4 linked regions of the Caenorhabditis elegans genome follow. The protein of the gene in region 1 purifies or fractionates together with the protein of each later gene. This does not show direct contact. Each region holds a gene or a part of one and is shown in the gene's direction. Other genes may lie near its edges.

Evidence for each region.
Region 2: the proteins of npp-18 (region 1) and T24C12.3 fractionate together in Caenorhabditis elegans (co-fractionation; one large-scale study listed by BioGRID). This does not show direct contact.
Region 3: the proteins of npp-18 (region 1) and czw-1 fractionate together in Caenorhabditis elegans (co-fractionation; one large-scale study listed by BioGRID). This does not show direct contact.
Region 4: the proteins of npp-18 (region 1) and trxr-2 fractionate together in Caenorhabditis elegans (co-fractionation; one large-scale study listed by BioGRID). This does not show direct contact.

Annotation. Positions count from the first base shown.
Region 1 is NC_003281.10:13,294,053-13,300,566, forward strand, and holds npp-18 (Nucleoporin SEH1), read left to right. Parts: upstream 1-2,800; 5' UTR 2,801-2,804; coding exon 2,805-2,870; intron 2,871-2,925; coding exon 2,926-3,036; intron 3,037-3,081; coding exon 3,082-3,143; intron 3,144-3,194; coding exon 3,195-3,262; intron 3,263-3,312; coding exon 3,313-3,700; intron 3,701-4,287; coding exon 4,288-4,544; intron 4,545-4,594; coding exon 4,595-4,734; 3' UTR 4,735-4,941; downstream 4,942-6,514. Other genes in the region: pgm-2 (Phosphoglucomutase-2), read left to right, coding at 5,327-5,486, 6,165-6,511. UniProt on the Caenorhabditis elegans protein: Probable component of the nuclear pore complex (NPC) which is involved in the trafficking of macromolecules between the cytoplasm and nucleus. As a component of the GATOR complex may function in the amino acid-sensing branch of the TORC1 signaling pathway.
Region 2 is NC_003284.9:2,196,462-2,206,665, reverse strand, and holds T24C12.3 (Carbohydrate kinase PfkB domain-containing protein), read left to right. Parts: upstream 1-2,772; 5' UTR 2,773-2,826; coding exon 2,827-2,978; intron 2,979-3,025; coding exon 3,026-3,101; intron 3,102-3,375; coding exon 3,376-3,474; intron 3,475-3,518; coding exon 3,519-3,630; intron 3,631-3,760; coding exon 3,761-3,994; intron 3,995-4,046; coding exon 4,047-4,167; intron 4,168-4,250; coding exon 4,251-4,336; intron 4,337-4,382; coding exon 4,383-4,507; intron 4,508-4,673; coding exon 4,674-4,730; intron 4,731-5,512; coding exon of another isoform or gene 5,513-5,771; intron 5,772-5,820; coding exon of another isoform or gene 5,821-5,976; intron 5,977-6,029; coding exon of another isoform or gene 6,030-6,099; intron 6,100-6,146; coding exon of another isoform or gene 6,147-6,228; intron 6,229-6,780; coding exon of another isoform or gene 6,781-6,966; intron 6,967-7,031; coding exon of another isoform or gene 7,032-7,205; exon of another isoform or gene 7,206-7,226; intron 7,227-7,673; coding exon 7,674-7,753; intron 7,754-8,877; coding exon 8,878-8,959; intron 8,960-9,007; coding exon 9,008-9,136; intron 9,137-9,180; coding exon 9,181-9,295; and 6 more. Other genes in the region: T24C12.4 (ShKT domain-containing protein), read left to right, coding at 1,705-1,747, 1,801-1,981, 2,047-2,224, 2,273-2,425; T24C12.1 (Tetraspanin family protein), read right to left, coding at 5,513-5,771, 5,821-5,976, 6,030-6,099, 6,147-6,228, 6,781-6,966, 7,032-7,205.
Region 3 is NC_003282.8:7,940,797-7,948,405, reverse strand, and holds czw-1 (Centromere/kinetochore protein zw10 homolog), read left to right. Parts: upstream 1-1,813; 5' UTR 1,814-1,830; coding exon 1,831-2,124; intron 2,125-2,167; coding exon 2,168-2,724; intron 2,725-2,778; coding exon 2,779-3,321; intron 3,322-3,369; coding exon 3,370-4,180; intron 4,181-4,519; coding exon 4,520-4,651; 3' UTR 4,652-4,786; downstream 4,787-7,609. Other genes in the region: F20D12.12 (uncharacterized protein), read right to left, coding at 452-495, 902-935; exc-9 (Cysteine-rich protein 1), read left to right, coding at 7,600-7,609. UniProt on the Caenorhabditis elegans protein: Essential component of the mitotic checkpoint, which prevents cells from prematurely exiting mitosis. Required for the assembly of the dynein-dynactin and mdf-1-mdf-2 complexes onto kinetochores.
Region 4 is NC_003281.10:8,912,233-8,919,282, forward strand, and holds trxr-2 (putative glutathione reductase 2), read left to right. Parts: upstream 1-1,536; 5' UTR 1,537-1,548; coding exon 1,549-1,809; intron 1,810-1,857; coding exon 1,858-1,994; intron 1,995-2,040; coding exon 2,041-2,125; intron 2,126-2,474; coding exon 2,475-3,011; intron 3,012-3,061; coding exon 3,062-3,404; intron 3,405-3,972; coding exon 3,973-4,121; 3' UTR 4,122-4,227; downstream 4,228-7,050. Other genes in the region: tpk-1 (thiamine pyrophosphokinase 1), read left to right, coding at 1-84, 139-219, 629-860, 905-1,016, 1,066-1,205; M-phase inducer phosphatase cdc-25.3, read right to left, coding at 4,272-4,751, 5,146-5,515, 5,563-5,663.

The DNA of each region.
Region 1 (6,514 bases):
ACAGTTCCAAAAATCAACGGGATATCGAGCATCTTCTCCAAAATAGAATTTTTCGAGGTAGCTGAAGAAATCTGAAAAACGAGAATAATTGATTTCATGACAAGATTTTTCAAACCTTTCAATGCTGGATGCATATTAACTGTTCGACATTTCAGAAGACGGAGCCAAAGAAGTACTTTGTCGTGTGGAGCAAAACTGAGAGTATAAATCGATTTTAAAAGATTCACGAATTCCGGCTTATTGATATCGTCTCCAACAGCTGAAATTTTGAATTAGGTTAGCAGCATTAAATATTTAGGTTTACCTTTTCGCAGATTTTTAAAAAGATTCACTTTGAAGTGACGCCAACATCCAAAAATGTCCGCATTCGGCCACACAGCTCTGCTCGCATTAACACTGGCCACTTCAAAGTCTGGATAGGTTGATAAATTTAATAAATATAACCAACGTTTACCTGAAAATACGTATTTTGGTTGGATTCCACTACGTAGGAAAGATAGGAACAAACGTCTGTACAAATCTTCTTTGGCAGAGCCACACAAAGCAAAAACCAATGGAACTGCCACGTTCGTATCGAGATCCTGCAATGTCATTGGTTGACATCAAAATACCTTTCAATTAATACGCACCGTGACTGTTGCGATGTAAAGCTGTCGATAATTTTTCGGAATTTCTGAGAATTTCCCATCCAAATGCAAGCTGTGTGCACCATACAAAGATTCAGCTTCCTCTGCTTGCCACACAACTAGCAAATCCTTATTAGACTCAAACGTTCCAGAACTGTCTAAACAACATTTTCCTCCTTTAAAATAGGCAGAATCGAGGGCTGGTGGAAAACTATTCGTCGATTTCCTACTCAGCATACCGTCCAGTATGCGACTGATTTCTTTCTGGAAAAAGTATATGTTTTATTGATTCCACGATTTATTATTTACGTTGCTCTTGAGAAGTTCAACAACTTCATATCTTTTTGAAAGTGTAACAGCAAGCTCATAAAGGCGTTCTTTTGATGGTGAAGAAGACATTGATGAAACTGCGATTTTTCTCATAATTAATTGCACCTAAAATATAAATTTAGTTTTGAAAAACGTAAATTTCAGTATACTGCAATTTCGCTTCTCCTCGATTCGTGATCACAATCACGACTGACTTTCACATGGCCTGTCTCAGTCTTGATACGCACGGATCCGGGGCACTTTCTCGAGTTTTCCAGTGTAACGTTACATCTGAAATAAATTAATGAAATGTGTGACAAAAAATAAAATTTTTTCCTAGCGATAATTCACCTAGCCACAATGTCCCCATTTTTCAGTGTTTCTCTCGGACGATAGCTTTGATTGTTGAAAATGACCAATGGAGCTCCTCGTTTCGTCGAAATACTGAAATTGCATAGTTTCTATGTTTAATTGTTTTAGAAGTTAGAAGGCATACCAAAAATCTGAACTATTCTCGCTGATATATTCCGGTGCCATTTCAAGCACCCTCTTGGGCTATTGGCAATCGGTCTATAGTGCATCAGAGAACGTAACACGTGTGACTTGCTGGAATTTTATATTTTGATAGAGTTATTGATTAATAACAACCTATTTGTCAAAAACCAATCCGGATGGTATGGAGTCTCTTCGTCTTCAAACGGAGATTGATATGAATTGTGACCTAAAAATACAACGTCTGTTATTTCTATTTAATTATTAGTTAAGACCTACACAGAAGATTGAATTCACTGGTTTCCTGTAGATCGTGATCCATTTCTTCGGGAAATACAGCTGGATCAAAATCAAAAAATCTTTCAGTATTTGCCATGGAATCTGTTGTATCCAAGCTTGTTTCCTGAGTAGAATTGGCTATTGAATCGCATTCCGGGATATCGTCAGTGGATCTCGGCTCATCGAGCTCTCGAGAATTTGAAGGAAACTGCATATACGAATCAGACCGACGTGGTGATGCAGGTGGAGTAACCAGATCGATTGTTGCAGGAGTCGATTCACATACATTTGTAGTAGACGCTTTCGGATTTCTTTTCTTCTTTAGATCCCTGTCGAACGCTGAAAAATACTTTTCACTCTTCAATTAATCTTTAGACATCAATACTTGCCTCTAAAAAAGCGTTTGGCTCCGCTTGGATCACTCTCAGCATCAAGTTCTTCTTTTTCCGGGAAGGAAATGCTCATTTTCGATTAATATTAATTTTGATCGATTCGAAATCGATTGCAACCCGTTTTTGTCATCGAAAATTCTGAAAATATCCGTATTTAGCTCGAATAAAACTAATTAATTTCCATTAAAAATCCGTTTTTAATTGAATTCCGTTCGAAATTTCCTGTTGGAAAAAGAAATAAATAAATACGAAGAAGCGTGCGGCGCATTGCAAAAAGCCGTGCGGCGCATTGCGAAGGACTGTGCGGCGGGCTTGCGAAAAGGCGCGCAGCACATTGCCCTACTGAAAGCGTTCCTTACGAAAAAATCCCCTTACGAAAACGTACCCCCTCGATTAGAATAGAACAGTTTAGCAATTTCTAACAATTAATTAAACAAAATTTGGATGAAAAGTCTTTAAAATGTATCAATTCATTGTGCCGCAATTAATTTAGGCCAACATTAAATTTAAAAATTTTACATTTACCGCATCTTCTCGTTTGTCCGAGAGGACTACACCACTCGCTCCTAGCGAGACCTTCCACCGGCGAAAGTGCCTGCGCCTTTAAATTTTGAATCTATTTTTTTGTTTCTACGCAACGATTTTTCTTCTTTTTCTCTTATTTTTCTCTAATATTCACTATAAATATTTATTAATTTTCAGAAAAATGCAAGAAGACGACTCGGTGAAACCTTTTCAGACCGTCGGCGCTCACAGAGATCTCATTCATTGTGTATGTTGGCTTGATTTCGAAAAATTAGATAAAAACTGAAGATTTTTATTTCCAGGTTTCATTCGATCCTCATGGCCGACGAATGGCAACATGTGCCAGCGATATGACAATGGCGATTTGGGATCGAAAGCCAGACGGAAATTGGCGTAGATCTGCACACTGGAAGGTAGAAAAGAAATTTCAGAAAATAAAATAATTTTCCTCATTTCAGTGTCATGGTGGAGCAGTTTGGCGCGTTATTTGGGCTCATCCGGAATTTGGGCAGATTGTTGCGTAAGAAACTAGAAACTGTCACCCGAATATACTTTATTGATTGATTTTCAGCACCTGCTCCTACGACAGAACGATTGTAATTTGGGAGGAGCAAATTGTGAGATCAGAGAAAGATCTGAGTGAGTATAATTCGCTCTAAATATAATCCAAAACATTATGTATCTCTCAGAGCAAAAAGAATCCCAATGGATCCGAAGAACAATCATCTCCGATAATCGTTCAGACGTCACCGATATCTGCTTCTCCCCGCGCCATCTGGGTCTCATGATGGCATCATGCAACGTTCTCGGAACCGTCAGAATCTACGAAGCACCGGATATTGTGGACGCTTCTCGATGGAATCTTATTCACGAGCTTCAAGCGTTTCATACCCGATGTGGATGTGTCACATGGTCACTTTCTCGTATGCACCGCCCGTTGATTGCTGTTGGTTCGGATGAGAAGAAGGCAGAGAACAAGAAACGAGTTGTGATCTATGAGAATATTGATGGATTGAGGAAATGGCAGCGAATCAACTCATTAGTCTTCGATCTACCATGCCCGATTACTGATTTGAAGTAGGAAGAACACGCTCTCCTCGGAGCCGAATAATTATTACAGCGCGCTTGCCTTTCCATTGAAAATAGCAGATTTTTCAGTATTAAAAAATCCGCTCTTTGAATAATTTTTTGTCTAGAAATTCCAAAAAATAATCGAATTTTCTAAAATCCGATATTTATCGGATTTGTGTCTAAAAATTTCAAAAACAATCGTATTTTCTTGAAAAATCCGCAATTTTATCAATTTTTTGCCTGAAAATTTTAAAAATAATTGAAATGTTCTGAAAATTCCGCTATTTTAACAAAATTCAAAAAATATTTAAAATTTTCTTGAAAAATCCGCTATTTTAACAATTTTTTGTCTAAAAATTCCAACAAAAAAAATTGAATTTTCTGGAAAAGTCCGCAGTTTTATCAATTTTTTGTCTGAAAATTCCAAAAATTATTGGAATTTTCTTGAAAAATTCGCTATTTTAATAATTTTTGTCTAAAAATTTCAAAAAAAATCGAATTTTCTTGAAAAATCCGCTATTTTATCAATTTTTTGTCTGAAAATTTCAAAAAAAAATTTCCGCTATTTTAACTATAATATTTAAAATGTTCAGATTCTCGCCGATATCGATGGTGGATTCGCATCAATTAGCCGTTGCATCAGGCGATGTTCACGTCTACAACATCAAAGTGGCTCGTTCGGCGATTCTCGAAGAAGACGGTGTCGAGAATCCGATTCAGCTGGCGGATTACAATCTGATCAAGGTGGCACTGCTCGGGGATCATCGAAAAGCATGGAGGCTTCGATATAATCTCATGGGATCAGTCATCTCGTCGACGAGCTTGGATGGAACACTGAGATCCTGGAAATGTTGGGAAAAAATCAAAAAGAGTCAAAAATGAAATAAAATTGATTTTCAGCACTCTTCGTGAACCAATGGGTAAAGCTGAGTGAGATGAATGTCGACGACTACGTTCCATCGCCTGAAGAAGTTCGCGCCTTCATCTCATCGAAAACTACCGAACGTCTTCCATCACAACTCGAGAAAACCTATTTCTAACGATATTTTTCTCTATTTTTTCTCGCCGATCATTTTTTTTCCGAATGATTTCTTATCAAAGCGTGTATTATTATTTGTTATCATCATCTGAAAACTGAAAACCGAGAACATTATCACCGATTTTTTTTTGATGTTTAAGTATTTTATCAATCTTCTGTTTAATTTTCAGATTTTTCATGCTGATCGGTTTCTGCAAGAATTAAACATTCCACTTATCTAACTTATGTAATTTTCAACGGTTTTTGTGCCTAGAAATATTTTTTGGACGTTTTTGTTAATTCTTTTTGCATTCAACATTCACCTAAATTCGAAAATTAAATATTTACTGAAACCCGATACTGTCTTTTTCACAGTTTCCACAATACCTCCATCAATTATTGTTGATTTTATCTCTTTTCCAAATCTAGGGATAGTGGGTTACTCGCAGAGAAATAGAGAAACGGCAAGGTCATTTACCTGGCCTTTTCTCATCCACACATGTCGGAATAATTGTGGTATTAGTGTCCTTATCTGCAAAATTTCGATTTTTTAAAACTTTTGTTGTCTTTTCCACAATTTTATTGCAAAATTTAAGCACTTTCTAATTTTCAGAATGACTCTTGGATGTGCAAAGCTTGACAAGCAAGTTGCCGATTGGCTCGCTTGGGATAAGAATGATAAGAATCGTAATGAAATTCAAAAGCTGGTTGATGAGAAGAACGTTGATGCATTGAAAGCTCGTATGGATACTCGATTGGTTTTTGGAACTGCTGGTGAGAAGAAAATAATATTACACAGCTGCAGTGTGTAAACGGTGGAAGAAACGCAGCTATATTGGGACAAAGGGAGGAAGACCCGAAATTGTGTAGATTTACAGAGTGTGAATCTTCATTATTACGGGAATGCATATTGCGCAACTTATTTGACGCGCAAAATATCTCATAGCGAAAGCTACAATAATTCTTTTAATGGCTACTGTAGTCAATTTTCGAAACAATCTGTATCTGTCGCTATTCGAAAAACATTTATTCTCGAAAACCGAGCCCACACGTGGAGTCAGAAAGTCCCATTTCGCTTTGATCTACAAAAAATGCGGGAGAAGAGACGCAGAGTTCTTAGCCGAATTCGCATGGTTAAGAGCGTGCTGGCGCCACATTTTTCTGGTAAAAAATTCCCGCATTTTTTGTAGATCAAGCTATATTGGGACAGCCAGACACCAAGTGAGCCCATAAATCTACACAAGCGCTACACTAGTTTAAAGAATTACTGTAGTTTTCGCTACGAGATATTTTGCGCAATGCGCATTCTCAAAGATTTGTGTTCCCGTATCACACGGTCCCCACATCTCTGCGTCTCTCCACTGTCTACACTCTGAAGAAGCTGGGTGATATTAACAGGAGAACAGTAGAGATTCAAAAGTACAGCTCAAAATATAAACGTATTTTTTCCAGGTGTCCGTTCTCCAATGCAAGCTGGATTTGGACGCCTCAACGATCTTACAATCATCCAAATCACGCACGGATTCGCTCGACACATGCTGAACGTCTATGGACAACCGAAGAACGGAGTCGCCATCGGATTTGATGGACGTTACAACAGTCGACGTTTCGCAGAGCTCTCGGCGAACGTCTTTGTTCGTAACAATATTCCAGTTTATCTTTTCTCTGAAGTCTCTCCAACTCCTGTTGTCTCGTGGGCAACGATTAAGCTGGGATGTGATGCTGGACTTATTATTACTGCATCACATAATCCAAAGGAAGACAATGGATATAAGGCGTACTGGAGCAATGGAGCTCAGGTA
Region 2 (10,204 bases), on another chromosome or scaffold:
AAAGCCTTCCTCTATGAGTCAATGATATGCTTTTGCCGCGCGGCAAGCTGTGTGGCCACCGGCAACGTCAAACAACCTCTGAAGACGATATGAGTGTAAAAGTGGCGAGAGTGTAAGAGCACACGCCAAATTATGTTTGTGCATTCTTTTTTGTTGTGTTGTAGAGTGATGATGAAAACGAAAAAAGATGAAGAATGAGGAATAAGCGTTGCTTAACGGAATGTTTGAGTATGCTGACCATTTGATTTTAGAGATAAAAGACGGGAAAATGCGGTAGCAAATGTGAATGAGCATGTTGCTCAGTGATCTTCAGGAATGACAAAGTAAAATCTAAGCTTGGCATTTAAAGAATACATATCATCAATTTATAGTCAAATGGTTGCTGAAACATGAAAAGAAACATTGGAAAAAATTAGCTTTTCTTTTTTTTAACGTGATTTTCAAGTAAAAAAATTGTTGAAGTTCCTTTTTTTCAAAAATTTTTTCTTATACATATATACTTTCGATAAGCGTAGAAATATATATAAAGTTAAAATAAAAAAGCAAAATATTCGAATACCCGCGTAAAATAATTTTAGGGTACAAATCAAGTTTACCTTTTTGGTGGCAAATTTTTCAGTGTCAATTTTTGAGCACCTAACCTACGATTTACCCGATTGGCTCTTTTTCTTTAAGAAAAACAAACCACAAAAATATAAATAACTTAAAAACAGTCACATTCAAAGGAACTACTTAAAATCGAAAAACCATGCAATTTTGCACTTTAAAATTTGATTTTTCAAAAATTCTTTGTTAAAAACCAAAAAAATAAGGTCGAAGGAAAATGGGATCAAAAAACGCTTCAGTTCAATTGACGAAATTGACAAAAACCATTCCACTTTTTTGAATGGTTTAGGCTCTTCAAAGAGGCAAATGGTGAAAACTATGTGTAAAACAGAAATTTCAAATTTTTAGGAGAAACAATTTGTTTAATGAATGAAGTTATTTCATTGTTGGAAGCATGAGTTTCTGATAATTAGCGTCAGTGGGGATCTTTTCCAAATGCACCAATAATGATATAAAATAACCATATTAAAACACTCCAAAAGTTTTTAGATTAAAAAAAAACTTCCAGTCAGTCAAAGAAGTTTTGGCTAGTTGCCAAATTTTGGAAAACCTTTTAAGAAAATCCAGAGCAATGTCGCAAGAGTCTACCCTTATAATGTTTTAAATCAACTAAATAGAATACAATTAAAGTATAAAAGTCGTCGAAAAAATAAATTTTTTTTGACCTGCTTCCAAAATTATGAGAGGCAAAAACTCAGTAATTGCAACTTTTTGAGAGTGAATAAAATTTCCAAAAATTTTTTTGGAAAGATTTACTATGATAGTATGCCAACTTCAATATACCCCACACTTCTTTCCGCGATATTAATCACAGACACGTGTCACCTACGTGTAATCACCGATGATCATCCAGTAGTGCATATGCCAATCACGTCAGAGTTGACGGTCTCTCATGCTCCCATAATGCTTAGCTCGATTCATTTTTCCGTGCCTTCCGGTCATCGTTTACATTGTGTTGTTGCTGCACACTGCTCAACGCCTTGGGGCGGCGCGAAAATGCGGGAGGTGCAGAACCGGAATGATTGGCACTGTATTATAAAAGTACGAGCAATGTTCCGTCGACTTGGGACATTCTCAATTACACCACAATTGAGCGTCATGTGGAAGTACGCGGTTGTCTTTTCTGCTATTTTTCTCATCCGTGAGTAGGCTTTTTCATTTCTAATTCATTTTATTGTTTTTTTTTAATTTTAGATATTGTGGATGCTGGCTTCCAAATTTCACAGCTCAAACCATTGTACAAAGAGGATAATATTACTATCAGTGAGCTTTCCACAGCACTTGGAGCAGCCTTTCCACCATGTTGCTCCGATATCATTTCGAGCATTGCCTGTAGAAGACTTCAACAGCACAATCCTTCGAAGTTCCTAGACAGGTTGGTTTTTTTTTAAACTTCATTAATTGTTTCAAATGCTCTCTGAAATTAAATATGAAGTTCAGATGCGCTACTGACGCTGATTTCTCTTTGATCCAATGTTGTAACACTTGTGGAATGGAAAGCGCTGCCGATAGATACGAGCTCATTTTCCAAGCCGGCCACAAATCCAACCAATGTTTCGACCGCCATGGATCAGAGTTCTGCAAGCGATTTTTGAAGAAGGAGGATGTTTGGGGAAAGGTAGGTGACGCTTTTCTAAATGTTTTCTAGACCACTTTTTTTTTGCAGTCTCAATGGTCTTGCGACGGATCGACTGCACATTTGGCGTTCCGCATTTGCAGAAAAACTTGCAACTTTTGCCGCAGAGATATTTATCGCACACCGCTCGGTCGATTTGAGCCAGTGTCTTGTGGAAAACCACCAGTTCTCATTCCGAACTAAATGTCACACTGGAAACGTAATTTATTCATTCTTATTTTTTAATATTTCTTACTCATTTATTTATTTATCTATTCAATACTTACTAATCTGTTGTAATATATTTTCCTAATTTCATGACGAAAATTAACGAGATCTCGATCGAACCTTTTTAAAATTCCAATTTATTTATTTTAATGATTAATAAAATCTTCACAAAAAAAAAGCTTGGACTTTGAAATTCGTAAAAATGACAATCTTATCAAATGATGGACACTTTTGAGATAGTAAAAAACAGAGTGTAGAGGGCAATCTTATCTCTTCTCTCCATCTTTTTCCATATCGATCTTGTTCGATAACCAGAAAAAGTAGTGTTGTAGATAGTGCGAGCCCCATTCTAGGTCTATTACTCTCTATTTCTCACTATGTGTTCTCGATTTTTTGGCCAAAAACGTTCGTTTTCCAAATTTCTTCAAATTTCTCCACAAGTTAAGGAGGCTCTAGCTAGCGGAGAAGGAGTTGTCGCGCTGGAGAGTACAGTGATCACACATGGACTTCCTTACCCTCATAATTTAAGGTAGTGAATTGCAAATGCATTTGAAACTATTAAAAAATTATTTGCAGTACTGCAAGAAGTTTGGAGCAAAAAGTTCGATCATCAGGAAGTCATCCAGCTACGATTGCGTTATTTGATGGAAAAGTAGGTTTTTTCGCTAGAACTTGTTTCTGAAAATTTAAATTATTAAATGATACTTTTATTGCTGCCACGTTCGTTTTTCTAGCAGACTGCGACATTTTATACCAATATTTTCATATAAAACAATAATATTTTTTTATTCAAAAACTGCCAAAATTAGTGTTTCATCAACTAAAAATTCTTAGGAATTTTTGTGAAAACTTAAACGCTATAAAATTAAAAATCATTTTTTGAAAATTTTAAATAGTGTATACCTAAACATTTTCATTTTATTCAGATTCATGTTGGATTGGATGATGAAAAACTGGAACTTCTTGCTTCAAGTCAGAATGCAGTCAAAGTTTCCTCCAGGGATATCGCAAAGACACTGATTAAAGTAAGTTTGATCTACTATGATAAATTTTTCAATGTTGATTTCAGAAAGAAGTTGGAGGAACTACAGTAGCTTCAACTATGAAGATAGCACACGCAGCTGGGATCAGTGTATTTGCAACAGGTGGCATTGGTGGAGTACATCGTGGTGCAGATCAGAGTGAGTTGTTTCATGTGTTTGGTGTTTTTTTTTTGACCCGTGAAGTTTTAGGAAAATTGTTGAATTTGGACAATTTTTTTTACCATTTATTCAAGTTCTTTTTTTTCCGAACAGCAAAAAAATTTTCCAGCATTCGATGTTTCGGCTGATCTTCAAGAACTTTCGCAAACTCCCGTGTGTGTGGTGTGCTCTGGAGTCAAAAGCATTTTAGACATACCCAAAACTGTCGAATATCTTGAAACTCATTCCGTGAACTGCATAGTTTATGGGCAAGAAAATGTGTTTCCAAGCTTTTTCACTAGAACATCAGATAGAAAAGCTCAATTCTGCACTGAATCATTGGAAGAAGTTGTTCACCTGTTAAGTGAGTTGATGAAAAATATTGGTTCATGAAGTAAAGTCATGAAGTGTTTCAGAAACCTCGAAATCTCTCGGATTACCTTATGGAACTATTCTGGCTTGTCCTATTCCTGAAAAATATGCAGCTGATGGAGATGCGATCCAGAAAGCAATTGACCAAGCTGTTCAAGAAGCCATGTAAGTTAAAATTTAAATATGTTGCACTTTTTAAAAATATTTTTTGAAAAGTTCCCTGTTTTGCTTCAAAACTTTACTTTCAGTGAACAAAACATCGCTTCACAAAGTGTCACCCCATTCATTCTTGCAAGAGTGAACGAGCTCACACAAGGAGCTTCAATGGCTACAAGTATGCGTTTTGAACAATTTTTCCGCTGTTAATTGTCATTTTACAGACATTGCACTTCTCGAGAATAATGCGTCAATTGCTGGAAGACTAGCCGCAAAGCTCTGCGATAGACGTCCACTTACAATTTCACAGAGCCAACCAACTGCATCAACGACTCGAAAACCAAAAGTGGTGAGTCAAACCTACAATAAAGTTTTTTTTATTCACTTGCGAAATGTGGTATTGTTCTCATAAAAGTTTGAAACAACACAAGCTGTCTTAGCAAACAACCAACGCCTACTAGTTTCAATGACATTTATTTGTCAAACGTATCAAACAGATCACGACTGTTTTTCAGGTTTCTATCGGAGCAACTATCGTTGACTTTGAAGCCATCACGAGTGAAGATGTAAAGGTGAGAATGAAACAAAGAACAATTGAAAATGAGCAACAACAAAAAAAATCAGAAAAAAACATTTGGGGAATGGAGTATACCAAAAAAAAAAAAACCAAAAAAAACATGACAATTTAGAAAAGAAAAACTTTTGAAAAACACGTAAAAAATTATGATGAAAGAAACTTAGAGATTTGAGTGGTTTGCGGATTTTAAAGTGATTGAGCCGTGGAAAGTTGTCTGAAGGGGACCTAACGGTTCAGACATGGCACAGAAAAGTAGACACAAGTGAAACCGCCATAAAAAATTATTGAAAAAATTTTGAAAAGTTTCATTACGAAATTCGTTTATTTGAGTTCATTTTATTCGAAATTTGCATTATTAGATCAAAATTGCCCAAACCGTTTAAACTCATTTAAAAACAAAGTTAGAGAAAAATAATATACACTAGGTGAAACACTCTCGACAATTTGCTGCAACTCATCCACCAACTGCTGCAACTTTAGCAATGCCAAGCGAAGAAGTTGCTAAATTTGGGAAAAAGGTTGGATAAAATTGATCAAAGTAGGTAAACTTAGTAGAAAGTGCTTGGCCAAAGTTGTAGATATGTTTCTATAGTTCGTAGAAACGTTGCAAAAGTTGGTGTATAAGTTGTGACAAATTGCCGAACTAGTAAGATTCATCAAAATATTATTTTACCAACAACATCTCTTATACCAACATCACACCCTTGCAAACACTTTCACAAAAACCCCTGAACTGTCGGAATGAAAAAAGGAGAAACTGAACTGAACCCCCAAAAATTAAAACTGTTCAGTAACAGCAGCCGCCTCAAGTTGTCGTGCATTATGAGCAGCAATCGCTTGTTGTAGCTCTTCCCGAATTTCATCCCCACGGACCGTAAATTCGTTCTCCACCTCCTCGATTACAGAGTGCTTCAAGAAAGGTGAATATCCTGGGAAACTTTTAACGCGGCTGATTCCTGATGTTTGGGTTGACGTGCTGTCAGCCAAGTTGATATTGCTCTTGAAGCTCTCGATGTAACCATCTCCATGGCGGTCACTGAAATATAATTGTTGATTATTAATGCTCCTCAAGTCATAGTTATTACTATTCATTAATCATCTGAGAGTAGTATTCAAGTTCCGCCATTTCTGTTTCAACTTTCTCGATATCTTTTCGAAGAGCTGCGATCATGAACAACTTCAGCGGCGTGATCACACAAAAAGCAAGACATCCGACTATTTCTGTATTGGAATGGAGCCATCTGCAAGATTTTTTTGTTCATATAATTTCAGTTTTTCCTGAAAGATATGTTACCTCTTGAGATGAATATAGCAGTCATTGGAATGTCCAGTTGGGCAAAACGATTTTGTAACGTTTAGAAAATCTGAAATACAGAATTTTATGAGGGGAACAACTGTAGAAACTAGATACCTGCACATGTTTGTAACACTTCTTCGGGTGGGCAGCAAATCAAAGTCTGATAGACGTTATCCCAGACAGAGCATAGTTCTTTCTGAAAATTAATAACACGTGTTAAAAAATTACACAATTTATCAAAATTTTGCATGGTGATATTGAAAAATCTGAAAATGTTTTCAGTGTTCTAGTATAATTTTCAGCATTTTTGGACTATAATAAATGTAATTAAAGTTGATCATAATTGCAACCGAATGTATTCAAACTTTTTGAAACAATTTAGCAATAAGAACTGCGCCGGGAGCGGAAAAGTCATGAGATCCCAAATTCCACGTATATGTGCTAAAATGTGTAATCAAGACCATCTGATTTTTTTTGGTCAGAGTGATAGACTAATAATTTGGTAGGCTGAACTAGGCTGAAAACAATGCTGCATAGGTTTTTTGTCAGTGCGAGTTTTCAAATCATTAAAAAGGAGGTCTTGTAGAAATTGGACACACTGTATCAATAATTAGTATTCCTCAATGAGTTTAATAACTCCTATTTTTCCACGTTTTGTTCTGCACAAACTGTACTGGTTTAACTTTAAAAAATCAACCTAACTGTATACTTGGTTTTTCTCCCGGATTTCAAAATCTTGAATACTTACACTGCTATTGTGAAGTACTTGAATGTGGGAATATAGCGAGGTGTGAGCTGTGGACATGATGCTTGCAAAAACGAAAACCATGACAGCATCCACAATAAGTGTACAGCACTTTATCCAATGACAAAAAACGACAACGCCAATTTGTCTTTTCCGAATTGCAACAATTGATGCGATACACAAAAGTGCCTGAAAACAATGGTTTTTGATGATACATAGTGAAACTATTAAGTTCGGAGCTTTGCACTACTCACCAAACAAATATTGATGAAGCAGTATCCAAGAACATATGGATCATTCTTTTTGATAGGAATCAGCACGAATAATGGGCTTGTGAGCATGACAATCGTGGCGCCAAGAAAGAGAAAAACGGCAAGCAGGAGTATCATATTGCTCCCATAAAGCCATGCCGCTTTACCAAACCGCATGCTGAAAACTTGTTATAATTATGGCAAAGTGATTCTGAAAATCAATGATGAAGGTACAAAAAACAGGAACGGGGAAAGATTTTTGAAAAGAAAGACGAACAGGAAAACACACACCTCGCACATGTTTGTTTCTTCTTTCTCTCTCTCTCTACGAGGATTGATTGTGAGAGAAACAGTGCTGATGGCTCGTCTGTATGATTGATGAAAAGTGGGAGGCCAAGACAAAAAAAGAGAAAGAACAAAATAAAATAAATGAAAACTGTGTGGCAGAAGCTTCCGGCACACTGCCAATCGGAGAGCAAGCTTTCTGATTCATTGCTATTTGAACAAAGTATCAATGCGCTACTGTCACACATTTAAGTGATCGCTTCAAAGCACATAATGTTTTTTTTTCTAAAGAATTGAGATTGAGAATTTGATATTGAACTCCAATATATATAATATCCGGTAACACTTAAATGATTTCAGGATGATGGCGGCTCATACAACGGACAAGTGGTACAGCGAATGGGAGGAGTAGCAAGGAATCACGCGGATGCATTAGCAAGGTCAGAAATACTCGTAAATTAGAATGTCATCGCTTGTGCGTCGCGCTAAAAGACGCACCACCACTTTCACTTTTGGCACACAGTTTTCATACATTCACAAGAAATCGAAATGATATGTTTTTCTTCCTGACCATTTTTGTTTTGAATTGAAGAAAAAAAATTGCTAAGAATTTGTAGCGTGGTCAAAGTACAGTGCATATTGGGATAAATAATTGGAATGATGTGAAAATGTAGTGTTCAAATGAGGGGTGGGTAATTGCCGTTCGGCAAATCGGCAAACTTGCCGGAATTGCTCAACTCCGGCAATTTGCTAATTTGCCGTTTGCCGGTATCAGTTTGCCGGAAATTTCTAAAAGGATTTTCGATAAGGCGAAAACACTGAACCGTGCCATTATGAAATGTTTTCCTGTTTTTGAATTATATTCACATATAAATTGCTTACTTTCAAAATAGATGTAGGGTGATCCGTAGGATGCGTACAATTTTGCGGTTCAAAATTTAAATGTGTATAGAGTTAAAGAAAAAATGTGTAAAACCTTAATTTGCCGATAATTTTTGGCCATTGCCGTTTTCTGGCAAATTCGCCGATTTGCCGAATTTGGCAAAAATTTGAAAAACAGCAATCCACCCCCGGTATACTAAACCAAATACAGAAATACAAAATGTCATAAAACTAATCAAGTCCATTTGCATTTATGGACTTGTGGCTTTCATTTTTTGTTCAAACCAAAAGCACAAGCGAGACCTTTTAACTTCTCATCACATCAAGATAGTACAATGTCACTGTAAACTTCAAAGATGACCGACAACACAATACCACCAAACCTGATGCTCAAACGAAAGTAAATGTTGCCGAGGTATTTGTGTGGATCGCAAAAGAGCGAAAAAGTAATTTGAACTCGGTCTCTTTGGAATTCGATTTTTTTCTGCTCTTATTTTGACAAACATCCCAAGATCGTTGTTCAGTTTTGTAATTGTTTTGTGTACGATCAATTGTTTGATTGACTTTTGTCTGATAGTTTTGCACTTCAATTGAACTTTAACTGTATTGCAGGCTTGAGCCACGGCGCGCAAAGTGCTTGATTTGAAAATAGCTTTATCTTAAAATATATTTTTTATTTCAGGCTTGGATGTGATTCAGTTTTCATTTCTGCTATTGGCGATGACAACAACGGACATTTCTTCAGACAGAACAGTCATAAAATTGTAGGAAATTTTTTTGTTGTTTCTCATGGAAATTTTCGTGTCGTTTAGGATATTAATCGAGTAAAGATTATAAGCAACAAACCAACTTGCACTTATTTAGCAGTCAACGTGAAAGGAAACGTGAAATATGGAATTGTTACTTGTGAGCCACTTCTGAGTGTCATTACTCCGTCATTGGTGGGTATAATAGGATACGAGGCAAAAAATAGTTGTTTTTTCAGGTTGAAAGCAATGAAGATGCATTGGAATCATCAGATTTCATTCTTCTTGATTCAAATCTATCAGTTCCAGTTATGGCCAGAGTTTTAGAAATTGCAAAGAAACATGATAAACAAGGTATGGTGACTTACATAGAATTAACAAAAACAGACAAAAATATACAAGGCTTCAGTTTGGCTCGAGCCCACGGACATTGACAAAGTGAAAAAGGTGTTCGACACAGGCTTGGTTGGAGCTGTAACTGCCGCATCGCCAAATGCCAATGAGTTTCTGAAATGGGCTAAACTCTGTCACGTCTCCGTAGATCCGTCGGTCATTGATACAGCCGATGGTGTGCTGGAACTTATAGAAAAGGAGAAAACTAAGCTGCTACTCAATACTTCCATTTTTATTGTGACATTGGCGAATAAGGGATCGGCAGTGGTATATAGGTAGGGTATTTTGCATTTTCTACAAATTGCCAAGCTTGAATTTTAAAACGCAACTATTACTGTTGTGCTGAATAGGGCTTCCTTGCAGACGCGAAACACCTGCCGTGCCCGCCTCGCTAAATGAACAATTTTCCAAAAATTGCCTGAAAAGGTTTTTTGAAAAAAGATATTTGACCATTCCATTCTAAGTGTTCTAAACTAATATGTATAAAATTTATTTTCAGAAATAAACTTGGCCAACTTGAATTCCAATCGCTCCCACCTCCACTTCAAATGAACAAAGTCGTATCGGTTTCCGGTGCCGGTGATAGTTTCAACAGTGGAGTAATTGCTGGATTGGCTCATAACAAAACAGTCGTCGAATCTCTCCAAATTGGACAAGAATGTGCTCGTCTAACTCTTCAAACGTCTCTGGCAATTTCTGATGCGATAACCCCGAATTTATTAGCGTAGACGGGGATGGCGTTATTGTTTTTATTCTGTATTGTTTTTTAGACAATCTATATTCTTCAAATAAATGTTTCTAAAACCCATTTCAAAAAATAATGACGGTTCATATAATTTTGCAGAGAAAGAAATGAATTGAACAACAAGC
Region 3 (7,609 bases), on another chromosome or scaffold:
CTTCATTGTTTTTTGGGGGAGAAAAATCAATTTCAACTCTAAAAAGTTCAATTTGAATTGTTTTTTTCGGTTTTTGAGTCGTTTTCGCGGAATAAAAGTAAAATATTTCAAAAAAATCGATTTTTCGCAGTGAAACAACAATTCACACGGAAAGGCGACGCGTAAAAATCGATTATTTGCAAGGAAAGAACAATTTACACGTGAGGAGACGAAGTGAAGAACGTAGAACGAGTTCTATTTAAAAAATTCGAATAAGATAACCTGAAAAATTGTGATGAAATGTTTTTCAGAGCCGAAGGAAATTGTTCAATGAAATTATTGTACAAATTGGTTTGCAAGCTATTCATTGAACATTAAGAGCGATATTTTATTGATCATGATAATTATTTACAGATAAGGATAATATTACATTTAATGAATTACATAATTTCAACAAAAAAACAATAATTTGTCATGAAAACGGAAGAATTTGGAGGATGAGCAGCTCGGGCGGATCTGAAAAATTTAAATTAGAACTTTCATAATGACATCGCTGATATATAAATGAAAAAAGATTTTATCTGGTCTATTATCAGATTCGCTTAGTTTTTAGAGGCTTTTGGCTTAAATGAATGCAATTACAAAATTCTACACAATTCAATTGAGAAGTCTACGGTTTGGAGTCTTAACGTTCACAGAGACGTACAATCGAAAAGAACTGATCGCCCGCCACTATACAGAAATTCCGACTTCAAAAGAGCAGTGACAGCAAATTATAGCTGTTTCAACGATTTCAATGCCTCTATAAGTCCATATATGTTCGATCCGAAGATATTTCATTAATTTTTTGTTAAACTATTTCAATTTTTGTTCTTAAATCAATTTTTTCCTACTTTCTACAATTTGAGAATATAATACTCACGTGGGTGGCCTGGAGAAGCACATCCCTGTTTCATCCGTGCAATTTCCCTCGATTCGACGAAGTCTAGAAATTAAAAAAATTGATAAAATATGAGAGGGAAAGAGATTAACAAAAGGAATACACGAATTAAGGAGGGCGAATTAACAAGTCACGGTTGAAAAATACTTTTTTTTGCGAAAATGGCTGAAAAAAACGAAGAAAAACAATTCAAATTGAACTTTTTAGAGTCGAAATTGATTTTTCTCCCCCAAAAAACAATGAAGAAAATCATCATTCAAAACCGTGCGGAGGTTGCAGAAATGGGCGTATTGTAAGGCACGGTTCTGTGGGCGTGGCCAATCCCCCGAGTTGGGAATCCCCCCAGTTGGACATCCCCCGAGTTCTTCGGGTCTCAGTTTTGTTCAGTCTCTCGTTGTCTGCATGTCCGAAGTACGCAAACACGGATGTACACCGTACATTGGCGCCAATAATCATAATTATGCGCGCGTGGAACGAAGTTTGATTTCGATTTCAAATCATTTTACAAACTTTTGTTTTTATCGTTCAAAGGATTTTAAAATCGATTTTCAACGCGTTGCAACGTAATAATTATACGTAATAAGATCTTATTCTTCATAGAAACGTTATTGTTTTTATTCACGCGGCGCTCTTTTTTCAAAAAGTAAGCAATCACGAATGCTGAATTCTCAATTAAACATTTTTTAAATTGACTCTTTCCCCAGTCACTTGCCTGCAACTCATCTCCCGTTATTAATTTTCATCTCTGTGAACGCGTGAGTAACATTTTTCTGCTAAAGTGAGCGCACCGGTGTCTCGTTGTCGTTTTTATGTTTTCTATTTGCGGGAAATTTAAATGCTCTTGTCTTCATGTATTTGTTAGTTAATAATTCCGTAGAACATTTTCTTTTTCAGGCTGTGAAACTTAAAAAATGGCGTCATCCGAGGGATCCTATAGAGATCTTGAGAAAAAACTGAAAAATGGACTTACTTCAATCTCGCAGGACATTGTGGACAAGTATGGAAACCTGAAAGTGTCACTCAATGTTAACGCGACAGCCAAGCTTATTTTCGACCGACTTGAGAACCTCGAGGATATAGCTGAAATGTCTACTCGAAATCTGTCTAACTTAATTGATCAGACAGCAAAGGACAGCCCCGAAATGCTCGCAGAGATTAAATCCCAAGCTCAAAGCTGCGAAAATCTGGTGGAATTCCTGCAATCGGTAATGGTTCGAAAATAAGCATATAAAACAATTGAGTTTTCAGATGAAAAATGTCGAAGAACAATTGATAATTATGCGGAGTAAAACAACGAATCGTGTAGAATGGGGAACTGCTATTCTTGCTTGTAAAGATTTTCTCAATGACACAAACATGCTGCTTGAAGGAATTGGACGAGACGGTTTCGACATGAGTGTTCCATTGAAGCATTTTGCCGCAGAATATTCGGTTTTAAGCTACAATTGTCGTTACCAATTGTCCGCTGACTACGAAAGAGCAATGAATGTTCCAAAACTGTCAAAACAGAAATGTGGAGATCGTACAAATGTTTCTTTCTCAGTATTCAATGTTGGAAGCGTGGAAGATCAGAAAATGCTGAACGAAACTCTAAGTGCTATGAATATGATTGGACAATTACCAGAACGACTGGACGCTTGGAAAATCGTTATCTTGAACGTGTTCTGTGAAGCGATTGTTGCTAGCCGCGATGGTGTTGACGTATATATTGTGGATAATCCAACACCTGATCAGACAAGATTCTTGATAAACCAAAAACCACGTGGCAAGAAGGACAAGACTATTGATGTCGCAAAAGTTCTCGAGTGAGCGAAAACCACTTTAAAATTCTGAAATTTAATTAAATATGGTTGTTTCAGGTCAATGGAAGTGTTTTTTACGAAGTTGCACTCCGTTCTTCATTCTCACGAACTGCTGGACGCGACTGGAAAGACTTTCACGTCGATGATCGGAAGCGTTATTGAGGAACAACTGATAACTATGATACTGAAAGATGTAATTGCGATTGCAGCACCCGTCACTGAAACTGCTGACGAAGATCAGGAGATGTTCATTAATTTGTTGCAAATTGGAGAGGTCTTTGTCGAAAGAATGAAGGAGCTCGGATTCTTTTCTCAGAAAGCAAAGTTGCTGTTCACTCTTGACACGGACACAATTTTTGTGACTCGTCGTTGCTTTGCGATCGTTTCAAAAGCGAATAAATTGATAAATGAAACGTATGACAAACTGGTTACAGTTGGAGTTGATGATTCAGCCATCAAGGATATTGATTTGCTTGCAAAGGCTCATACACATGCCGAACATTTTGCTAAAGAATATGGAAAAGATCTTGGACGTCTTTGGAGCCATAATGAAGATTCGCAGTTTCCATCATTCTTCGCTTTCCAGAAATGTACAGTCAGGTAATTTTTTAAAGTGTTTATTATTTTTTTCTAAAAAATAATTTTCAGTGAATCAACTATCAACTTTGTCAATCTTCTCCGTGATAACGTGAAGGCTGCGTTTGCCTGTGAAGATGAAGGTGCTCGTGCGAAACTCGCTCTTACCGCCGAGAATATTGTTCGTCTCTACGTGATTCTCACACCAAGGAAGCATGCTGAGTTGTTCAGTTCGATCCCGAACATGGCTGCCATTTTTTACAACAACTGTCATTATATATCACACTGCATTATGACGATGTCGTTTGAGGCTAGTGGTGACAATCAGAAGACGTTATTGGAACCATTGCTCCTTGATTCTGTTATCAGATTGCGTACTGTTGCCGCTGATTGCATGGAAAAGACACTGACAAGATGCCGTCGCGAAATGACTGCTTATTTGGAGGATCATAGCATCTTTGAACACTTGCCTGCAAGTTATAAGACTACAAAGAATACATTTGCTGCTGCTGAAGAGATGTCCGAGTCGGCTGATATTCTTGTTCCGAGAGAAGAGCCAAAAATTATCAAATGTCTTGCCGCCTGCCTTCTTCATATTCGCCTTATTGCAAAAAATCTTCGTGAACCTTTGACTGAGGTGGTATACTGTAAGGTGATTGGATCACTCGTCTCGTTCCTGTTGGATTCTCTTGTGCGCCACGTTGTCACCACTTCCGATTTCCGCGAAAATGATGCTAACGTGATGGCTGACGTTTTCAAAAGACTTTTGGAAGTTGTTGCCAATATTGTCGCCTATAAGGAGCAGACAAAAGTGACCGATTTCTGTGCTCGAGAGTATTTCCGTCTTAATGAAATTGTGTTCGTTCTTGGAAACAGAATGCAGGTTGGTTTTTTTTCAAATATCGTGTAAAGTATTGTTTTGATGAAAGTGAAGTTTTGACCATGGAACTTTAGAGAAACTTTTTTAAAATAAAAAAGTTCTTCTAAAACAAGTGAAATTGCGAATATTTAAAGCAATTTATTTTCAAAAATTGGATTTTTTCAAATATTGGAAAAAGGAAAATATTAAAAGTTACCCTTTTTGAAATAGTGAAAAATCAAAAAAACACCCTTGTTTCGGACGTCGACTTTTGATGTTTTGATTTAACATAAATATGAAATTTACATGTGTTTTGTTCCGAAAGTCTAGAAATTATAAATAATTTTTATGCTAATTTTTCAGGATATCGAGCATCGATGGTTCAACGCTAAGGGTCCAATGGCAGAACATTTGAGCCGATCCGAAGTTGTTGGACTGATTAAAGCATTATTCGCCGACTCGCAACATCGTTCTGATCTTATCGCTCGTTTATAATGTGTATTAAACTAATTCATATTCTCTTCCACGCCAATACATTATTCATTTTTAATTTTTAACTGGCGTTGTGTTTCACTGTTTTACCGGTTTCCAGTATGTTTCCCCCAATGTTTTCTGAATAAAGTTAAACATCGGTGACGGTTTCCGATCAGTTCGCACTCGACACAATAGCCTTGGAATGTTGCCAACTTTTTTCAAATGCATTCCGTTGGCGCCCTCTGGAGAGTGCAGACAACAAGACGCCACTTTGAAAGGTCGGGGGCGCCCACCAGAAGGCGTATGTCATATGATGGTGGCACAGATGAAGGCGAAAGTCGAGCTTCATCACATTGAACCAGTTGTGACTTTTAATCCCGTCCGCAAGGGCCGCCCGTTTCCTTTCCCGGGCGGGCGACAATACGTTCTACTCTACTTATTTGTTTATTCTATTCTATTTCTCTCTGCAGCTTCTGCATTTATCCACCACATCGCAACAGCTTTCCTTTTTTCCGTTTTCTTCATATTCCTGAAGAAAATGAAAAGTGGTAATAAACAATTCGCGTTTTTTGAAGTGCCATGATTACTGTAGTCTTTTATATGTTTGGCTTTTGGTGGATATTAACTTACTCATTTTTTAAATGAAATTTGATACATCGCTTGATTCCTAGGTGATATTTCGAATCTTATTTCATTGGTTTTATTTGAAAATATAAATTCCTGTCTCAAAGAATAATAATCTCAAAATCTCCCTACAACTTCGGGTCCTGGCACGAACCAAACTTTTATACTACCGTATCCATGAGTTCGCAAGGGTGTTCGAAATATATGAAGTCGATATTTGGAGTTTATATTTTTCAATAAATATGTTTAAAGATTTTAACAAAAAAAATTGAAAAGTCGGTGAACGTGAAGGAAAAAGAGACACGGTTGCTGAGAATTTTTGACCGTTTCGGGACCCAGGGGTTTTCGTATCACATTTCTTGGATTGCATATTAATTTATAACAGTGTATTATTAATTTGTATTGGTAATCCTTAACTTTCAACTCAACTTTCAACTTCCACAGACGTACGAATGAGTAATAAGTTGTTTTCTAGTTCTTCTGTTTACTAGATTAATCGTTCTCTAATTTCCAGTTTTTTCAATGAAAAATGTATATTATTATTTCGAACTATTTTACCATCCCATTAATCTTTAATCAAATAGTTATCGTCTAATGGGCAAATTTACTTCACTTGAGAAAAAACCATTCCTAATACTAATTTCATGTCACCCTTGTACATCTTCTCATATTATTCTCCCTTTCTAAATCCAAATATGTCCTTTTGTGACACCCCATCACAAGAAGAAGAAACATGTATTTTTAGAGACATAGAAGTGTAAATTGCACCTGTTCATTGCCTGTTCTTTTCCCATCCCGCGCACGCGGTCAGTGGTAAAAAGTTGTAAAAGAACAGATGTGGTGCCCCTTTCTTTGCTTCAATTGCCCTGTGATGCAGCAACAAAAATATTAAAATTATATTTTATTATTATTGAAGTGATGTAGTCTAAACTTACCGTAGCATAGGAAATAGTAAAAATTGTTGAAAGTTATTTTTTATTTTCACTCAAATATCAAAAAAAAAATTCAAATTTTGTTTACTAACTACATACATAGTTTACACAAAATATCAGTTATATTTCCGCTGATTCATTCAAAAAATGCAAATATTTTTCCATTTTTCCGGTCCCGCGAAACTAATAATCTCTTGCCTTTTCTCTCTTTTTTCACTCGGTTTATTTCGGCTTTCAGACCTATTCATAGTGGGGAAATTTGTGTGGAATTGGGAAAATTCTCTGCGTCTCTTGCTCTCTTTCAGTCAGTCAGTAGAATTGTATTTGTGCCAACTGTCACATTGTGTTGTTTCTGGTGGCAGGTGTCTAGGTATACCTTTTTCCTCAATACTATGACACACCCTACACACCATGTTAGGTATTCGCTTTATTTGCGTGTGGTGGGTAGTACTAATTGACAAAAATCAATTTATCGTCTTGCATGTAATTATGTACTTGTATGAAAGGCTAATTTTTCAAGTTGTCTGTAGTACGGCTAATATTCGCAAACCTCGTAAAAAACGTTTTTTTTTTTCAGAAATTTGTCAGTGCTTCAACGTGTTTAGAAGTTGATTTGAGATAGTTTAGAAATTGCTCTAACTGCTAACATTATCTAATATCATTGTAAACTATTCAAAAAAAATGTTGGAATTTTTAATTTACAGTAATTTACAGAAAAGTGGTAATCATTCAGTTTTCATATATCGTAGTTTTGGAATTCGAAGGTGCAATAATCCTCCGAATGTTTCAAAAAAATTGCAATTTTAGAAAATTTGACAATTTACCAAAACTAACTGAAAATTTTAAAACTCCAAAGACACTTTGGAATTTTCGATTTATTTTTTTGTTCATTTCAAAACTATTTTGACATAATTCTCACTGGCGTTGATCTTTTTTTACGGAAGTTTTATTATGACAATGGATTTTCAATTAGGGCTCAGGGTGTTCCAATACTACATGCATGGGAAAACTAACTGTATTTAGAGGAAATATGTTTTTTTTGCAGTTATACATTCTGTTCATAGTTCGAAAAATCATAAACTCCATCTTTAACTTACGTGGCCTTTTGTTCTAAATTTGTTCAGTTCTCTGTATTTTCCTCCTTTGTGCTCAACATTTTTTACGTGGAATTCTGAGTTCATCTGTTATTTCTCACAGTAATCTGGTCTTCGAGCTTTTCCTCATAAAATTTGGTAAACATTGGTTATAAAAGACGCGCGTGACAGAAACAGCAGAAGCTACTCAAAATCTTCTTCTCCTTCTTTGCCTTCTTTTTTGTTTCTCTCATCTATTTTAGAATTCTCTTATCCTTTCTGTTTCTTCTTTTTCTTCAATGAATATCCCGTTATCCATTTCCATTTCAGAGAGCCAACAATGCCAAATT
Region 4 (7,050 bases), 4.4 Mb from region 1:
AATCAGCAATCGCGCTGAAAATTTATGGAATAAGGCCAAATATCGAGTTGCAACTGATGGAGCTGTTAATGAGATTCTTAAAAGGTGATCTAGGATCCAGAAATTGAAAATTATCGTAAACCGAGTTTTGGATTTCAGAAAGAGTTTCGTCGAATGGCCTCATATTATCTGCGGAGATTTCGATTCAATAAATAAACAGATTGATACAAAAAATGCAAAGTTAGTTTAAATTCTACTGAAATTAAAAATTAATATAGGCATTACTCAACTTCATTGTAATCGTGTTTCATGTTTGATAACATCTTCTATTAATGAGCAATGATAGAATTACTGTAGGGTTACTGTAGTGATCACAAAGAATTATTACTGTAGCGGCTGTTGAATATTAGCTAAAAGAATATATAGGCGTGAACGTTGAAAATAAAATTAAAATATTATTGAGTTGTGTTTTTAATACTGGAAGACTGAAAGCTACAATTCGTTGAGAAGAGTGTATTGACCAGGTCATAATAATGATTTTGCACTTTTTTTGGTATTTCTGGCTTGCCAACTAAATGTTATTCATTCTGTGTTCAGGACTAAAAAAATAAAAATATTTTGTCGAAAATTGTTCTTAATGTTGTTTTAGAGTCGTCCATCTGCCTGATCAAGACTACACAGATCTCTCGAAGAGCGTTCAGTGGTGCTTAGAGCAGAAAACACTAACAAGCTGGGAATTCGAGAATATCGTTGTTCTAGGAGGTCTCAATGGACGATTTGATCACACCATGTCAACGTTATCATCTTTAATAAGATTCGTTGATTCTCAAACTCCTGTGATCGTTTTGGATTCTAGAAATTTGGTTCTCGCTGTTCCTACAGTAATCCTTGGCAGGCCTATGTGAACATTAAGAGTTAAATTCAGGGGGATTCAAATCTTGATGTCAATCTTGAAATGACAACAAAAATGTGTGGAATCATTCCAATTGTTCAAAAGGAGACAATCGTCAGTTCAATTGGACTAAAATATGAAATGGGTATAATCCAATGTTTCAACATCATTTCTATTAAACGTTTCCATTTCAGAAAACCTTGCTCTTGAATTTGGAAAACTTATCAGCACGTCGAATGAAGTTACCACGAGCCAAGTATTTTTGAAATCTTCGTCGTCTCTGATTTTTTCAATTGAACTTGAAAATTGGGTCTACAAACTTGATTCTCTATAGTATCACATTTTATGGTCCCTCTTAATTCACAACTTTTCATTCCTTTGCTATTCAACTGTTCTATTTTCTTTTTATTCCATTTTTCCTAGTTTTCACCGGTACTATATAATTATCTACAATATTATAATACACTTTATTCCCTGTACCATTTTGTGTTGAAAACGAATTAATAAAAATAAAAACGAATTAATAGTATGAGATTAAAATTTTCATTTTAAAAGCAATGTTATTTGTTTAAAAAATATCCAATTCTAATGAATTATCTGCGAATATCCGATAGCGATTTCAAAAATCTAATGAAAATTGAAATTCAACTTTAAATCATTTGTAGATCAATTTTCTGATGCTTCTATCCACTTTCAAACGACATCTACCAATCAGGCGTCTCTTCTCATCAAATAAATTTGATCTGATTGTAATTGGAGCAGGATCTGGAGGACTTTCTTGTTCTAAAAGAGCAGCTGATCTTGGAGCAAACGTGGCATTAATTGATGCAGTTGAGCCAACTCCACATGGACATTCATGGGGAATCGGAGGAACTTGTGCAAATGTCGGATGCATTCCTAAAAAGTTAATGCACCAAGCAGCAATCGTCGGGAAAGAGGCAGGAATAATATTATAAATATTTAGAGCACTAAATTCAAAATTCCAGCTAAAACACGCAGACAAATATGGCTGGAATGGCATAGATCAAGAGAAAATCAAACATGATTGGAATGTGTTGTCAAAGAATGTGAATGATCGAGTAAAAGCAAACAATTGGATTTATAGAGTTCAATTAAATCAGAAGTATTTTTTTTAATTTTGTGGAAATTTTTATTTTTATGAAATTTAGAAAAATCAATTACTTCAATGCCTATGCCGAGTTTGTGGATAAAGACAAGATTGTGATAACTGGTACAGACAAAAATAAAACCAAGGTACGTTTGGAAAAATGAAAAAAGAAGTTTTAAAAAATTTGTTCCGTATACCCAAAAGTTTTGCGGCTTTTCGGAGGAGAATACGGTATCAGGTCTCGACACGACAATATAGTTTTCCGAAAAAACATAATTTATTCTAACAAGTTGTGATAAAATCTATAAAAATAATCTATAAAAATTCCGTAGCAACAAATGTTTGAGATGACAGTACTCGTTAAAGGCACAACTTTTCGCATTTGACAAAAATTTGTCGCGTCGAGACCTGGTACCGCATTTTTGGCGCAAACTTTAGGTAATAATAATATTGCTAGGAAACGGAAAATTAAAAAATTTCATCCTAGATTTTCAGAATTTTCTTTCCGCACCGAATGTAGTCATCTCAACAGGACTCCGTCCCAAATATCCAAATATTCCTGGTGCTGAACTTGGAATCACTTCAGACGATCTTTTTACACTGGCATCAGTTCCCGGAAAAACTTTGATTGTTGGTGGAGGATATGTTGCATTGGAATGTGCTGGATTTCTTTCTGCATTCAATCAAAATGTTGAAGTTCTTGTGAGATCAATTCCTTTGAAGGGTTTTGATAGAGATTGTGTGCATTTTGTCATGGAGCATCTGAAAACAACTGGAGTGAAAGTTAAGGAACACGTGGAAGTAGAACGTGTAGAAGCAGTTGGCAGTAAGAAGAAGGTTACATTCACTGGAAATGGTGGTGTTGAAGAATATGATACAGTTATTTGGGCGGCTGGTAGAGTTCCAAATTTGAAAAGTTTGAATTTGGATAATGCTGGAGTGAGGACTGATAAGAGATCTGGGAAGATTCTAGCAGATGAATTTGATAGAGCTTCCTGTAATGGTGTATATGCCGTTGGAGATATTGTTCAGGTACGATAAAAAAAGTAACATTTTTTTAAAATAAAAATGATAGTATTCAGGATCGCCAAGAGCTCACGCCACTTGCTATTCAATCCGGAAAACTTCTAGCTGATCGTCTTTTTTCAAATTCCAAACAAATAGTTCGATTCGATGGAGTTGCCACTACAGTATTCACGCCTCTTGAACTCTCAACCGTCGGGTTAACTGAGGAAGAAGCCATTCAGAAACATGGAGAAGATTCGATCGAAGTGTTTCATTCTCATTTTACTCCGTTTGAGTATGTTGTGCCACAGAATAAGGATAGCGGTTTTTGTTATGTGAAAGCCGTGTGTACAAGAGATGAATCGCAGAAAATTCTTGGTCTTCATTTTGTTGGACCAAATGCCGCAGAAGTAATTCAAGGTAATTGATTCAAAAAGAGAAATAGTCCGCCCCGCCCGTCACGAAAATGTTTTCTGAACACCTTCAATTTTGGAACAATGTTCGAAAAACCATAATCTGTTCGCAAAAACTTACGTGCTAAATCTGTTATTTTGAATTTTTTATCTTTTTCTTTATTGAATGAATAATATTACACATACGCAAAATTCTGCTATTTTTGCGCCAAAAATACGGCTTGATACGACAATTTTTAATGCAAAGAAAGTGTGCACCTTTAAATAATACTGAAAATTTAAACTTTCGCTGCTGTAGAATTTTTATCGATTTTTTAAAGATTTAATCACAACTTGAGACAATTAATAAATTTTTATCAAAAAGCTTTAAAAATCTACAAAATTTCTGCAGAATCGAGAGTCTGAAACTACAGTATTCTTTACAGGCGCGAAAAAATTTTATCGTGTCAAGTTCAGGTACCGTACTTTTGGCAATCAACTCACAATATTCTGCGGGTAGGTAATACTAACAACCTCGATAATCGATCAAGATACGAAAACTTTAAAAGCTAACCGATTGCACTAAATTATTTCAGGCTACGCAGTAGCATTCCGTGTTGGAATTTCAATGTCTGATCTTCAAAACACAATTGCCATTCATCCATGTTCTTCTGAAGAGTTCGTGAAGCTTCACATTACAAAACGATCTGGACAAGACCCAAGAACTCAGGGATGCTGTGGATAATTCAAAAAGTTTATTGACAAATCATTCAGTTTATTTATCAAAGTTAATTTACATCCTATTATCCTGGATACTAGTAATTATAATTAAACATAATAAATAGTACAAAATATTTGATTATCCTTTTTAAAAGATACCGGGAACTACATATTCTTAATGCGCATCGTGCTCATGGATGGGATCACATGTCTGACGAAGTGTCGAAATACGAGTTCCAGAAGTTGTTAGAATAGATATCACAGATGTTGTTGAACTCCATTTCTTCATTGGCTTCGAAACATTCTTCTTATGGAACTGGTGCTTCCGAAGCTCAGCCTTATAACGATCATCAAACATGATTACATAATTATCTGGCTCACAGAGTTGTACTCTTTGTTCCTTCTCTAATCCCCGCGTGAAAGCGTAAAAGTTTTTATAACCTCCTTCCAACAAATAAATCTCCTCATAATCACATCTCGGATAGATATTTGAATTCAGTTTTCTGTCCACTTCCCGAAGGTTGTTCGCCATGGTTGGTCCACGTTTTTGACTGTATTCACAGTAGAAAATGGGTATCCGGTTGATTTTCTTGGAACCATCTTTGTTGAAGAAGAAGTCTGCAGCAGTTTCTGGATTGAACAGGCTTTGAGCTCCCTGAAAAGATTTGCAGTTTTAACTTTCTGGTATTTTTTCAAAACAGTTATTATAATTCTTTTTTCTGAAACGCACACTTAAAGGCGCATGATTTGGTTTGGAAGGGTCTTGCCACGAAGGAAAGTAGATTTTTTATTAATTCTAAAATTAAATGTGTTTTCTGTTTTTGACAGAACCCATTAGAACGGACTCATGATTCTTTAAGTACGAGTTTTAAGAAGTACAGTATCCCATTCTCATATGGCATTTTCTCTCGAAAGAGTCTATTTATTGAAAAACTAAAATGATACACGGACACGAAGAGAGAATATAAATTACGAGGGTTACTGTAAACTTAAAGGTACACACTAAGACTTTGGAGTCTGGAAACGTAGTACAAACGGCAAAAACTAACCTTAATATGCCCTCCATTATATTCATAATCATATCGGCAATCAATTAGAATATATTTCTGCATAAACTCAATTTGCGATAGCTTCTGCATGATTTCAATTAACGTTTCAGAAGTGATTTTTTGGTATACGGTAGAACAGCTAGGCGTCACGGTTTCCAAATGATAATCCACTTGAAGATGGGCATTCCATGTCTCAATTTCCGAAGTTGAATGGCTCTTTTTTGAGAAAGTTAGTCTTTTCTTTATCACAATTTCAGAAGTATTCGCAGAATCCGTTCCAGATGTATATCCTCCATCAATGCTTCGTTTCCGAGTGGGTGGCGATGAGTTGGAGATGTGGCTGATCGCAGAAGAGTGTTGACGGTTTTGTCTGTAAATTATGGATTTATTGATATCGAACACAAATAATCAACTAACCTTGGGAATAGCTTCGAGGATCCTTCAGCACATTCAGAACATTTCAGCCGGAGCCCGTCATTGCGAACAATGCAGTTTTCACATGGAACGTCAACGCACATCAGGAGACTTGGAGCTAGACTGAACTAGGTATACCTGAATGAAAGAATGCAATAGAATGGATTTGAAGACTAAATGAAAAAAGAGAGACTGACTAGTCTAGTTTAATATGAATTGGAATGGGATCAGTAGAAAACCCTAATGAACACTCAATAAAATAAAACATTATTTTAGCGCGCAATGATCATGGACCCTCCCCTTTTATATGGTCCCCCTCGAGATCGATATAACCTATATAAAATGGGGCGGGCCGTTCTCCTGGGAAGACAATTGATCTCGCAATTGTGTGCCAAGGTGTCGTGTTAGTGTGGCGATGTGCACCTATTTCCGGGAGTGAGAATTTGACCTACGATTGTTTTCACCTTTAGAGCGGGAATTAGACAAAGAGAATATGAGTAGATTCGACTGGGAAGTTTTGATTCTGGGAAGAAACGGTGAGAATTGTCTCTAATTGTATTTAACTTTGAACAATTTTAAATAAAATTTTTGGTATAAGGTGTAGAATATGGCTTGTGGGCAAAACAATTGAAAATCATTAATTTGATGGATACCATAATAATTTTTAAAAAATTGGAAAAGAAAAAATTGGAAAAAGAAAATTTCCACCTATAAAAGGAAACGAAACCGGCTTCCAGGTTCTTGACTGACTCTTAACATATCTAGATCAGAAAGAACCATTGGTATTTCAAGAGTGAAATTTTTTATAACCATTCCTTTGGTGAAAAATACATTCTATGAAACTATTGAAAGCTCCTAAATTTTTGATAAACTTTTAAAATCAAAATCACTTCAACAAGGTGTTCGTTCTTCCAACAGCTTTCTACGTTTATTGTACAAAATACACTTTCATAAAAACGAATAGTCAAACTTTCAATTAGTATTTTTCAATCAATGTCGACTTGATAAATTGACAAAAATCAAAATGCCGAGTTATTTTTTGAGAAACTTAAATCTTCTGTTGTCAAATTATACGCGACAAACTATTAAAATAACAGTAGTGATACTAGTTTAGGGTATTTCATATTTGGCTACAGTATTCTACAGTGTTCCTACTGGGATAACGGAACCTAAGGTTCTTAGAAATTAATGTCAAATATGCGGGTAATCCAGCAAAATTTCCATTTTTCACTGTCTCATTAATATTTTGTAAAGTTTTATTTGGATGGTTCAGGCACCATTTGGCCCATGTAAAGGGGTGCTTCTTTTTTGAAAACTATTTTCCAACTGTCGCTACTCTACTTCTAAAACAGTTTTTATATTATTCTTCGAGTCATTTGAATTTCGAATCACTGTTTAATACAATTGAAAATAAGATTTATTCAAACTACCTACAGAACAAAAAAATCAATAGAGCAACAATGATTTTGAAGATTAGAGAACACTTTTACA